Linked DNA regions of Stegostoma tigrinum. The protein of the gene in region 1 binds, or shares a complex with, the protein of each later gene. Links are inferred from orthologs where the notes say so. Each region holds a gene or a part of one and is shown on either strand. Other genes may lie near its edges.

Region 1 (6,707 bases):
CCTGGGTCCAATAAACTGGATTATTAATCTGCTAACATGTGCTGTTTCACAGTTCAGAGCCTCTATGCACAGGCCAATTTGTGAATTATCACATTTCAAGCACTTAATACTTAAGTATTTCGATTAGAATTAAAAACATCTTTGTAATCTGATAAAATAAAGCACATAAATAGGAACAACTTTTTATAATACGTCACACTGCTCTTAAGAGATTCCTTTAAAAACTTTTCAACACACAAAGACACTTAAGAGCAGTTACATTTTCTCAGTTCACCTACTGCCTTGAATGTGAGACATCACAACAAATGCAGAGGGCTTATACTATGTGTTGGTTCAAGGTACCCGGAAACAGGGCAAAGAGAAGAAGTAGGACAAAACAATGACAACTTACACTTGCAAAGCAACTTCCAAACAGGGGGTAAAACAAAACATTTCACAGAAAAATCAGATGACACATGAAAGCAGAGGAGGAATTATGGTCAAACTTCATGGTTTTAATAAGGCTTTTGGTACGAGGCAGTAAAACTGAGGGAACTTAAAAATTCAAGAAGTACATGAAAGATTAATTCCAATTCAAAAGCTAGAGGTAGAGAGTGTGGAAAAGGGAAGCTACATATTAAAACAGAACTATCGAGGACATATTCATGATTTCAACCACAAGCTGTGGTGAATCAAAGAGGAGGGTGAGGATATGGCCAGATTGAGGTCAGGATGCTAATAGAGCTCAGTACAACAGGGCCATAAGAAAGTAGACTCTAGCACAGCAAAAACAGTTTTGATGGTAGGGTCTAGCTAATATTATTGTAAAGAATAATGTTAACATTGAATTCAAGGTCAATCTTGAGAACCAAAGAAAACACCATTTAGATCATAAACTGTCCTATTAATATTCTAAAATAACTTAAAAGGAGGTGGAAGATCAAATACTACTATTGTTTATTTTACCTGTACATACAGCCTCAATTCTTTGCAGCTTTACTTGGATAGGCACATGGATAATAGTAAAATGAAGGTTAGTTTGATTTCAGTAGGATAATAGGTCAGCACAACATCATGGGCCAAAGGGCCTGTACTGTCCTATGTTCTATATTCAAACATAGAACATAGAACACCAAGATACTTGCTCTGCCTGTGGAGGACAAGAGGAGCTCGGCACAATTCCCAGGGGCTGCACTGCAGCCAAAGAGAAACCTGACTGATGTTCCATTTTCTCCAGCCAGGAATACTAAGGTAGCCACTTTTACCTTGAGATTAACAAGGATAAAAGCAGAAATCAACAACTGCAGTGTTGCTTCACAAGGATTTGTTTGCATTGGATTTAATTCAAAAATGTTAAACAATATTGTGTATGGATGCCGACAAGTGAATTTAAGGAAACATACAAATGCAAGTTAGTTTAATCAATATTAACCTAAAATCACAGTACCAAAGCTATGGAAACTACAGAAAGAAGAACGAACACCACCCCTAATTCTGTCACTGCAAACCTCAAGCCATATTTCTGGGTGAGTCCATTTCGCAGTAAAGAATTATTTGTCCTTTCAGGTCAGATGAGGAGAAATTGAGCATCATGCAACTTGGGAACTCTACTTCTGAATATAGCATAGATAGGGTTATTTATTAGTTTTATAAGGCAGAAGATAGATTCTTGTCAAGCAAGGGACTAAAAAGGTTATCAGGGAGGGGAATGAGCAGTAAAAACAAATAGATGAGGTATAATCATAGTAGCAGATCAGGGTTGAAAGACTTAATATACTATGTAAGGGCAAAGCATTTCTAATCACAATGTCTGTTCCATGTATTGAAACTGTTCTGATGTACCTCAAAAAGTGAAGTATAACACATTAAGAGTTTGTGTCTATTGGGCTGTCATTTTCAATAATAAGTATTTTGCTCTCAGGTCACATACCTGACAACGGTTGCCTGTTGTCAATATTAAGATTGGTACCATTGTATTGGTACACACAAATGGAACACTGTTTGGAGACCAGTTGAACTTTACTACAATTTAAGTCAAAATGTTTTGTAAGGCACTGCACAAATTTTTTTTTTTGAAAACAGGAAACACGTATAATGACAGAGATAAAGCTCTGAATAAGGGTCTAGGCCCAAAACGTCAGCTTTTGTGCTCCTGAGATGCTGCTTGGCCTGCTGTGTTCATCCAGCTTCACACTATTATCTTACACTTCTAATGACAAGCAATTTTAGTGTTCTACAATACACTGACTTTTGTTTAGAAAATAATCCCATGCTGCAAATTTAAACAACACCTAAAACAAGAAATTTACAACTTGCATTTGTATACAGCAGGATCGGATTATTGTAAAATGGGGGTTGGGGGTGGGAATGGTCTAACTTAGGGCCCTATTGCCTGAATTCACAGGGGTTTATTTTAAGAGAAAAGTCTATTCCTTTTTCCAATTCCTGAACAAGATATGTAGAATTGCAAAAACCAGACAATCCTCCAGCATAACAAACCAGTGTCTAACGCATGAAAAGGCAAGTCCTTCTGGTCCTTAAGGAGACACCAACATACTTGCTCTGCCTGTGGAGGACAAGGGGAGCTCGGCACAGCGCCCCAGAGGCTGCGCCGCAGCCAAAGGAAGGAAGACCTGACTGATGTTCCTTTTTCTACAGCTAGGAATACTGAGGTAGCCACTTGTACCTTCAGATTAGCTTAGATAAAAACGGAAAATAAATCGAGGACTTTTCAGAGCACCACCGTGTATTTAACCACGTAGTAGTTCTGAAACTTTTAAAATCCAAAGACGGAACTTTTTTTTTAAAATAAAAGCAAAGTATGCCAACCATTAATTGAACGCTGCAAAAGCAATTATTTGGCAGGCTATTTTGTTCACATTAGCCAAATATAACAGCATGAAGGAAATCAAATTAATACGCATCATTTCACCGCGAACGTCACCACGACGAGAATTACTCGAGCTGTCCTGGTGGACTCCATTCCCGATTCACAAGAACTGTCATTTTTGAAGGCTTGCCTCTCGTTGACCAAAATAATGATTTGCGAAATTACTACTACTTTAGAATCTAAAACAAATCCAAACGTTTTAAAAAGGAACCCCACCACACCATAGTTGTCAAGGTCATTGCTCTCAAGTGAAATTTTACAGAGAATAATTAGCTCAAACTTGAAACAATTAACAGCAAGATTTCGTTTTATTTTCCTCTCTACAACACAGAGCGACTCGCATTCAAACAGCTAAGATTGACAGGTAGCTAACAGAAGTAGTGGACACAGGATGTTTAAATCCATCACAGCACGATTTAAAATTCACGTAAATCAGTTGCGAGCTCTACGCCAGAAAAATGGTTTTAAATAGAAATCTAAGCTGCACCGCGAAAGCTTTACGGCTCCTCAAACACAAGGGTTCTCTGCTAAGGTATGATTTTCGCCACTTTTAGAAGCCCAGGTCCTTACACCTCTCTCAAAACACAACAATTCTGCATTCTTGTCATTGTTACTCACTCAAATCCGAAAAACAACGCGCTGGTTCCTACGATGAGGAAGACGGTAAGGTAAAAAACTCCTTTCTGTCGAGCCATCATGATCCTACCATCGCAACAGAACGTGTTTCTCCCTGGCAGCTTCTGCCATTTCCGCGTTGGCTTTTTCTCGCTCTTCATGGCTTTGTAATTCCTTTCGATAACTCTTTACAATGAAAAATCTCTTTTAAAAAAACTCAATCAAATATAATAATGCCTTCTTTTTATTAAAAAAAGTTTCAGATCGATGTCAGTATATAATACAGCAGACCGCTCTTTCCCTTTGTTCCCCGGGTATGCGGTCCTCAGTTCCCCTCCTGTTCCTTCCTTTCCTGCCTCTACCAGCTCCTATATTCAAGCAAATTCAGCACTACCTCTCTATTCGCTGCTCCATCTCAGAGACTCAGCCAGAGCTCCGTCAGCCACGCCCTTCCCCAGCTCCACTTTGTAAGACTGCTTGTGCGCGCCCCCGCTCACCTGCTGGTTCCCGTGGGCGTGCGCGCGCCTCCAGCTTGAAGCGACCCATTCATTCGCACCATTCTTAGCCGACAGACAGACAGGCTGTTGTGAGTCACTGCCACACCGTGTTTAACCAGGTCGACAGTGGATGGGACCAGAACAGAGATTTATATTTGCAAAAATTACTAGTCGATGATCGAGGCCATTTTTGGGATTGAAATTTTTTTACATAGGTTCAGTGGAAGTGTTAAATCTCTTAAAATCAGTGTCTGAATTCGAGATCACAAAAATTGCACCAAGTAATTTCCTATCCCCCAAAAAACCTAATGATGCTTAAATACTCCAGCTGTTAGTGGCAATGACAGATCTTTGATTCAACATGGAAATCTGTCAAATAGGCTGTTCTTATCCTTGTGAAAACAGTATCTCTCTGTCTAGATAAACATCGAGCTACGTTGAGCTACATTGAATGGTATTTGCGCAGTAGACACTCGCCACAGAAAGTTAAAGCTGCTCTCCAGTGATGTAAGGAGCCTGCTTTTTTGTGATGCTATTTCAGGGTTGCATATCTAATTAAGGCTGGAACAGCCATCAGAATTTTTTTTAACAATACGCTTGTTGACGACAGTCAATTAACTACTTTGGCATTGTAGAGCTTCATTTCTTGGGATTTTAATTGTTGAATATTTTAAATGTCAAATATAAACGTCTTTTTAAAGTTTTAATCTTTTTTTCTCACAATCCAATCTTTATTTTTCTCCATTCTTATGGTTTCATACTAAATATGTTTTGTGGACTTGAATTTGAAGGATATCTGGATTTTGTTTAAAGAGATCATGAAAAGACAACAGAACATATTTCTTAGTAGTCATGGCCTTGTAATAACTACTTGTTAACTAAAGAGCATTTCCCTGGTTTCGACTTATAGATTTCAGTTTCCGCATTAGATATATATTGCTTGTGGCATTTGGTGATTAGCTACGCTAGTTTTCCTGTTACTGTAAAAATATTAAAGTGAATCTAGTGTGAAACTGAATTGTTCATTTGTTAAACTAAGAATCTGATTGACATTTTACGTTGAAAATAAACGATGTCTGTACAATATAAACAGCCAGTTTCAGCTTCAATCATGGAACCAAAGATGGCAAGACAGGTTAAGTTTAGAATTATTTTTGTACGAGGAGAAGTTCTTCATATGCAGGAACTATCGTTAACCTGGTTATCAACTGGATCAGCCAATGTTAGCCACGCTTAATCCAACTGGGGGGATCAAGCTCACTCCGTTAAAAACCTACAGTTCATTATCATGATTTAAATAAGGCCAATGAATTAAGATTATTTTTTCGACCCTTACCATTGCTGTGGCCAGAACATTGACCCAGCTTGCTATGTAATTTTCAATGCCAGGATTACCACACTTTCCAAAACTAATAAAGTTGCAGTTTTCTTGAAACCATGGGGAAACACTTTGGTGATTGAGATTTGTTAATTGCAGACTCAGTGGGATTTGAACTTCATCCTACAATTTTCCACAAACAAAGATCCTAATCTCTACCATGCTATGCAGTAAATGCCAGCGATCAAATTATTTGAGTATTCATATGGTTTCTTAGACTAGTTGCTTTCTTTGGAACAACATTTTTATAGTCACAATAGTCATGAATCATCAACTCAAGCAGTATTTGATCATCTTGGACTTTTACCCCACAATGTCAGTTAATATAGCACCTCTGGAGAAAAAGTACTCTAATCTGAATGTTGGGTTTAGCTTAATTGATTTTCAACATATCCTCTAGCTGCACACTGTGTCTGATTTAAATAATTTGCATACATGTAAGTTAACCATTTTTCATAGCATTTTAAAAGAACAGGATGATATGTCCTTTCAATTTCAAAAATATAAGATCATGATATTGTCTAGAGTCATATGCAAGTTATTAGTAGTTAACACAAATTCTGAGCAAAGATTCCATGCAGTAGTTACAGTGTTCTTAACACTTGCAAGAGAACAAAATACTGTTAGAGCAACTTCCAAAAAGACAAACAGAAGATTGTGAGTAGTTGCAGCCGTTTTCTTTCTATTCAGAGACACTTTGAAAAATCTAAATATAGATGAAGAAAGGAAAATAAATCAATGTGTTTTAGTCTATAAGAAAATTCTCTCCAATTCCCATTTATACAAGGTATATATACCAAAAAAGTGGACCTGTGCTCACATTGTAGCGTAATTAAACTATAAGACAAACTTGAGTAGTGCTGAAAAATGACACATTTTGTTAAGGCTTTTCATCTTGATACTTTTCAGGATATTTTGCAAAAATTGATATTCAATTGGAGAACAAGCATTAATAGGAGAGGACCAACTGTTGATAAGTTGACTCTGATGTTAGAGCCCTTACTGTGGACAACAAACCCATTAACACTACTAATAGTTAATAGCATGGCTCTGATTAAATTTCAAATCAGACAGGCTGATTCTGATTGGACATGGAATTGCCATGAGAAATGAGCTAGTGAATGGCTGTTGCCAAATCTATGGAGGTGCAATAATACAGAGCACGTCCATGTTCTCCCTTTCTGCAAAGTATTGAGCCGCATCAATTAATAAAGGTTCCAGTTCACACAAATGCTCCACACTGCAAGCTTGACTGACAATCTTAATTTTCTGCCCCTTCATTTTCTGCTTAGACGTTTTACATCCTTCAGACCTCAACACCGAGTTCAACAACTTATGACCATGAACT
Region 2 (6,707 bases), on another chromosome or scaffold:
GGTTCTTTACTCAGAGTGGTAAGGGCGTGGAACACTCTGCCTGCCAAAGTAGTTAACTCAGCCACATTAGGGGCATTTAAACAGTCCTTGGATAAGCATATGGATAATGATGGGATCGTGTAGGGGGAGGGGCTTAGATCAGTTCACAGATCGGCGCAACATCGAGGGCCGAAGGGCCTGTTGTGCGCTATATTGTTCTATTTTCTACCTCACTTAACTTCCAATCTGCACCTTGCACCCATATAACAGGGGGAAAATAACAAGAACTACCACTAAAACTTAAGCACCATGTCAATTCAGAGAAATGCCACATTCTTGCACATTTGCCACATTTTCAGTAAAAGGTTGCAGCAGTGAATCAGCAAAAAAAAAAGCGTTGACAGAGATAATGGGAACTGCAGATGCTGGAGAATCCGAGATAACAAAGCGTGGAGGTGGATGAACACAGCAGGCCAAGCAGCATCTTAGGAGCACACAAGCTGATGTTTCAGGCCTAGATCCTTCATCAGAAAAGGAGGATGGGGAGAGTGTTCTGAAATAAATAGGGAGAGGGGGAGGCAGATCAAAGATGGATAGAGAAGATAGGTGGAGACAAGACAGACAAGTTAAAGTGGGGGGGGGAGATGGAGCCTGTAGAGTTGAGTATAGGTGTGGGAGGGGATAGGTCAATCCCGGGAGGACGGACTAGTCAAGGGGTCAGGATGAGGTTAGGAGGTAGGGATGGAGGTGCAGCTTCAAGTGGGAGGTGGGGATAGGTGGGAGAAAGAACAGGTTGGGGGGGGGCAGGGACGAGCAGGGCTGGTTTTGGGATGCAGTGGGGGAAGGGGAGATTTTGAAGCTAGTGAAATTCACATTGGTACCACTGGGCTGCAGGGTTCCCAAGCGGAACAGGAGTTGCTGTTCCTGCAACCTTCGGGTGGCATCATTGTGGCACTGCAAGAGTCCCAGGATGGGCATGTCATCTAAGGAATAGGAGGGAGAGTTGAAATGGTTCACAAGTGGGAGCTGCAGTTGTTTATTGCAAACTGAGTGTAGGTGTTCTGCAAAGCAATCCCCAAGCCTCCGCATGGTTTCCCCGATGTAGAGGTAGCCACAATGGGTACAGCGGATGCAGTATACCACATTGGCAGCTGTGCAGGTGAACATCTGCTTGATGTGGAAAGTCTTCTTGGGGCCTAGGATGGGGGTGAGGGAGGAGGAGTGGGGGCAAGTGTAGCACTTCCTGTGGTTGCAGGAGAAAGTGCCAGGTGTGGTGGGGTTGGAGGGGAGTGTGAAGCGGACAAGGGAGTCACGGAGAGAGTGGTTTTCACTAGCTTCAAAATCTCCCCTCCTGCCAGTGCATCCCAAAACCAGCCCAGCACGTCCCTGCCTCCCTAACCCGTTCTTCCTCTCACCTATCCCCTCATCCCACCTCAAGTTGCACCTCCATTTCTTATCTACTAACCTCATCTCGCCCCCTTGACTTGTCCATCCTCCCCGGAATGACCTATCCCCTCCCTACCTGCACTCACCTCTACAGGCTCCACCCCTGCCCCTTTAACTTGTCTGTCTCCTCCCCACCCATCTTCTACTCTGTCCATCTTCGATCCACCTCCCCATCTCTCCCTATTGATTTCAGAACCCTCTCCCCATCCCCCTTTTCTGATTAAGGGTCTAGGCCCGAAACGTCAGCTTGTGTGCTCCTAAGATGCTGCTTGGCCTGCTGTGTTCATTGAGCTCCACACTGTTACCTCTGTAAAGCAAACAAGTTTTCTTTCCCTAAATAAAATGCTCTGAATTAACTATCAGCATCTGGAATCCACTGTGGCCATTGACTGCTAAATGAAGTGTAACCTCAAATCTGATTAATATGTGGAAAACATCATCTACTTTTCCTTTAGGTGCTCCTATTTTTAAAAAGTAAATTCTTGTGATATGACACTCATTCAGCGACATCCTGATAAATACATACAAAACAAGGATGTTACAAATGGGGGGGGCGGGGGGGGGAGAAGGGAGAGAATGAAAGAGGCTGTCAGAAAGTCACTAGATGAGGGATGCAGGCTCCAGGTGAAAACTCTAGAGACGGAGTTTCAAATATCACCATGACAAATGGAGGAATTTGCCTTCAATTTTAAAAACAAAATAAAAAGATCTAGTGTTGAAAACTAGGCTGAGGATTGATGACAAATCAAACATCAAGTATCATTGAAACCCACCCCATTCACAAATGTCACTCAGCATACTAATCTGCCAATCTCACTAAATGTGGTGTGATAATCCCATACCCACAGCAATGTTGTGATCAGAGATAATGGGAACTGCAGATACTGAAGAATCCAAGATAACAAAGTGTGAAGCTGGATGAACACAGCAGGCCAAGCAGCATCTCAGGAGCACAGTGCTCCTGAGATGCCGCTTGGCCTGCTATGTTCATCCAGCTTCACACTTTGCTATCCCACAGCAATGTTGTTGTTTCTGAGCTGCTTTCTGAATGGCCCAGCAAGCCACTCAGTTCAAGAACAATTAGGGGCCAACAACAAATGCTCACCACGAAGAAACACAAAAAGAAGAAGACTTGAGCTTCATTCATGCAACTCCACAGCCGATGAAGGGCTTTCGAAGTGAAGTTATTGCCATGAAATAAGGCCAGCCAATTTACACACAGCAGGCTTCCAAGGTCAGCCATAGGATAACAAACAGCTTGTTTACTTTCAAGGAATACTGTCTGAGAAACAAATATTGGCTAGCTTTCTGGGGACAGCACTCTCTGCTTCTTGAACAAAAATGAGACCAAGGAGTCTGTATATTCACTGGAAAGGGGCAGACCTCTGCCGTACGTCGGGGTTGAATGCTCAAATTGTGATGACTGATTCGATTGGAAACGCACGGCCCTTTCCACAACATCTTCCCCTCAGGAACCCCAACCCTATATCAAATTTTCCCTTCACCCCACCAACCATTCCCCCTTCTTCCACATCCAATCTGGTCCTTTCTCTTAAACCATACCCTCTTCCCCTTCGTCATCCCAACCCCAGAAACCCACTTCGCTCAAACATTCCCCTCCCCGACCCTCCACCACACCCTTTCCCAAAACCCCTTGGAATAAATCGGTGAATCAAGTAAACTGTTACTTCCACGACAGACAGATGAGACACAAATAAACAAAGCGCTTCCTGAAGGGTGCTGGGGCTGGGAGAGTAGAGGCGGACCGGTTTCCGGGAGGCACCAGAGGAGTCGCCAGCCTCCGAGCAGACACAAAATTCGCGGCCACCGCCCATCCCCCAAAGAACCCCTTCTCGGGTTCGGCGAGAGCCACTTTCACCAGCCCCCAGCTCTCAAACCACCCGCCCACAGAATCCGAGAAACCTTTCCACCGAACCACCTCCTCCTACCTCCGCCATCTTGAGCCGCCGCCTGCTTCCGGGTTACTGGCTCCCACGATCCGAGTTCCGCCTGGAACAAAAGGTTCCCCCCCCTCTCAGAGCTTACAGCCTAGTACTACACATGTTTCTTCTGCATTGTTTGATCCTTCATATCATAAACCTCTTCAATGAGCTGGTCATCCTCGTAGTGTCAGTTTATTTTATTTTACATTTTGCATAAGTCGGCAAAATAGTCTGGAAGATGGTTATAACAAAACCCTAAAAAACCTGTGCAGCCCATTTAGAAAATCATAAACCCCATCTTCTTGCAGATTATACCATTGACATTGTTCTCACTTTTTCCTTCAGATTGGTACAAATTGTTCAAACACGTTCACATTCACACGCTTTCCTACACGAGTGGAGGCATACATTTGAATTTTTCTCAGCAGCCCTGAAACAGACCATTAACCCCGACTACCCAGAGGGAACCACTCATGAAAAAAAGTTGCACATTGAGGGGAAACGCTTATTTGTGAAACTGCTTGTTGATGTCTCATCAATATTCAATTTTCTATCTTCTCAAATACACTATATAAGCAAGAGATTGAGAAAATCTGACATGAAAATCAGTATGGGTACCTGGTAGATTTTTCCCTCTGCTTGCTCCGAAGAGGCTCCGGGTTGTTTACATTGGAGTATTAAAAAAAAGTAGCCCATTTGACCCTGGAGCCTTGCTCCGACATTTAATATGATCATTGCTGATTATTCAGGCCAACACCCTAATCCCATGCTTGCCGCTACCATATTCTTTTTGCCACAACAGTTATAGCTACCTCCTTCTTGCAAACATATAGTGTTTTGACATAAACCACTTTCTGTAGTCGTAACTTCCACAGGCTTAACACGCTCATAGTGAAGAAATTTCTCCTCATCTCAATCCTAAAAGGTTTATTCCCTATCCTGTAACTATCAACCCTGGTTCTGGACATTCCCCAAATTGGGGTACATCCCTCCTTCATCTAACCCGTCTTGTCCAATGCTACAGCCAATCTGTATCTCAGGGCATGATCCACGGGCACCATCCACACCCAAACCTTACCCACAACCATATTGGCATCTCACTCTCTGAGACACTGGCAGGCCACACACTTCCATTGCAGGGAGCACTGAAAACTAGCCTTGCAAATCTGCAACAGGAAATTTTTGCGCACAGACAGGCACACAGCTCAACAGTTGGACCAGGCTGCATCTCAGGACTGCTTGCTTGCTCTGAAAGTGTTCCCTTACTTAGCGTCTACCTGCACGCTTGCACCACTATCCCTTTCATTACCTCGTCATGCCACGCTTATTAGACTGCTGGGTGGTCAGCCAGAGCCAAAGGCTGTCAGGACAGCCATACTGAGGTATTCTTGAGCACAGACATGCACACACGCGTGCCTACACACACACACACACACACACACACACACACACACACACACACACACACACACACACAGTTTGTCACATTTAGCAGTCAGAAACTGTCCAGTGAGCCAGGGAGTGGGGGATCTTAGTGAATGGTAAACCAAGAAAACTACAGCTTTCACCAGCTGCAAGCATAGCATTCATATGACACATTTATTTGACCATATGATCCTCAGTTCAGTCAAAGGGGGGGGGGTCACTGTCGGTCAGTCAGTTACTTTAGGGATACAGTCTGCACACACTCAAGGGGCTTGGCCATGGTCAGTCAGCTGCTTGGGACACTCGCAGTCAGGGAATCTGCCCCAGTGTAGTTAGGGAGTGGGTAGCGGTCAGTCCTGCAGTGCCAACACAAGCTGTCAGCATTAATTGCAGACTGTTAGTCAGGGAGCTGCAAGGACTGCACTCAAGAGCCTGGTCAGTCAAAGACCAGGGACTGTTAGTTAAAGTTGGTCAGAGGCCTGAAGCAAATGAAGCCCACGGAGTTCATTCATTCACCATTTGGGAAATCCAAGGGGGCCCTGTTCTGGAAGGGAAGGAATCACTGCCAACAGGAGTGGAGGAATCAAGGCTAGTTTGGGAAAGCAGAGGCACTTACAGTGGTGTGGATGAGGTTGTGATGGGAAGAAACATGAGATGAATCGTAGGGGAGCTGGGAACAGTAAGACATGGCAAGGGAAGATAGCAATAATGGCATCACAAAATGCTAACGCTGCTTGAAGGGAAACTGTGCAAATTCCAAGGGCTCTGCATAATACACAAAATATTGCTTCATCATATGCCATGTAAGTGTAACAATGGTCTGCACTGAACAGTGAAGGTTGAACGTCTGGGATGGAGAGGGGGAGGGTGTCAGAAAATCATAGATTCCCTACAGTGCAGAAAGAGGCCATTCAGGCCAATGGGTCTGCAGTAATCCTCCAAAGAACATTCTGGGGGACAAGGCTTACCCACAGAGACCATGAGTCATGACACCATTGCACACTGCCCTGACTGATGTGGAGAGTTGGTATGGTGCTGCTCATGTGCTAACCATGACCCTTGATGCAGCAGAGCTTTGAACTGTTGAAGATGTGACTCTACTGCTCGGACCAGTCTTGGTTGGTGGTTGTAGGTGGACCCTGCGATAGAGTCAGGGCAGAATGTGTCCTCATCATCCTGGCTCCGTGCTGTCCTCTGGACAACTGCAGCTGACAATAAGACCATGTACTGTGTGCAAATAGACTGGGCAAATGGGGTGCAAAGGTCTGTTTTAGCATCCGTAGTGTCAAACACTACCCATGATATTCACTCATAGACTCAGAGAATCCCTGTAGAGTGTAAGCTGACCATTTGGCCCATTGAGTCCACAATGACTCTCTGAAGAGCAGCCCACTTAGACTTACCCTGCTACCTAATCCTCAATCCTGCATTTCCCTTGGCTAGTCCAACTAGCCAGTGCATTCCTGGACAGTTTGAGGCAATTCAGCATGGCCAATCGACCTAGCGCGCATATATCTTCTCCTCTATCCATCTTCAGTCCGCCTCCCCCTCTCTCCCTATTTATTTCAGAACCCTCTCCCCATCCCCCATTTCAGATGAAGGGTCTAGGCCCGAAACATCAGCTATGGTGCTCCGAAGATGCTGCTTGGCCTGCTGTGTTCATCCAGCCCCACACTTTGTTATCCCACATATCTTTGAACTGTGGGAGGTAACCGGAGCACCTGAAGGAAACCCACACAAACATGGAGAGAACATGCAAACTCACACATAGAGTGGCCAAAGGGAGGAATCAAGCCTGGGTGCCTGGTGCTGTGAGGCAGCAGTGCTATCCACGGAGCCACAATGCCGTGCAACTAATTAGAGTTATAGAGTCAGAGTGATGTACTGCAAGGAACCAGACCCTTCAGTCCAACT

What was found. Proteins that work in one complex are often made in the same cells at the same time.
Region 2: the proteins of zdhhc9 (region 1) and golga7 are in contact, whole or in part, in a cryo-EM structure (PDB 8HF3), measured with the Homo sapiens proteins. The link is inferred for Stegostoma tigrinum from reciprocal best matches to the Homo sapiens genes ZDHHC9 and GOLGA7. Residues at the interface, in NP_001008223.1 of Homo sapiens: Phe78, Ala81, Arg85, Ile94, Pro95, Leu98, Asp100, Glu101, Phe104, Ile105, Phe129, Gln130, Ile131, Asn132, Ile146, Pro149, Pro150, Arg182, Tyr183, Leu186, Tyr274, Lys281, Cys284, Glu285, Leu287, Cys288, Gly289, Pro290, Leu291, Pro292; in NP_001002296.1 of Homo sapiens: Lys11, Phe13, Gln15, Tyr18, Ser19, Ser20, Gly21, Thr22, Ala57, Glu58, Leu60, Ser64, Tyr65, Gly68, Cys72, Ala75, Tyr76, Thr77, Phe79, Leu80, Tyr86, Glu87, Leu90, Ile116, Arg118, Gly119, Arg121, Val122.

Annotation. Positions count from the first base shown.
Region 1 is NC_081368.1:45,030,741-45,037,447, forward strand, and holds the start of zdhhc9 (palmitoyltransferase ZDHHC9), read right to left. Parts: upstream 3,943-6,707; 5' UTR 3,646-3,942; coding exon 3,488-3,645; intron 1-3,487. UniProt on the Homo sapiens protein: Palmitoyltransferase that catalyzes the addition of palmitate onto various protein substrates, such as ADRB2, GSDMD, HRAS, NRAS and CGAS. The ZDHHC9-GOLGA7 complex is a palmitoyltransferase specific for HRAS and NRAS.
Region 2 is NC_081393.1:13,284,132-13,290,838, reverse strand, and holds the start of golga7 (golgin subfamily A member 7), read right to left. Parts: upstream 3,472-6,707; 5' UTR 3,384-3,471; coding exon 3,375-3,383; intron 1-3,374. UniProt on the Homo sapiens protein: May be involved in protein transport from Golgi to cell surface. The ZDHHC9-GOLGA7 complex is a palmitoyltransferase specific for HRAS and NRAS.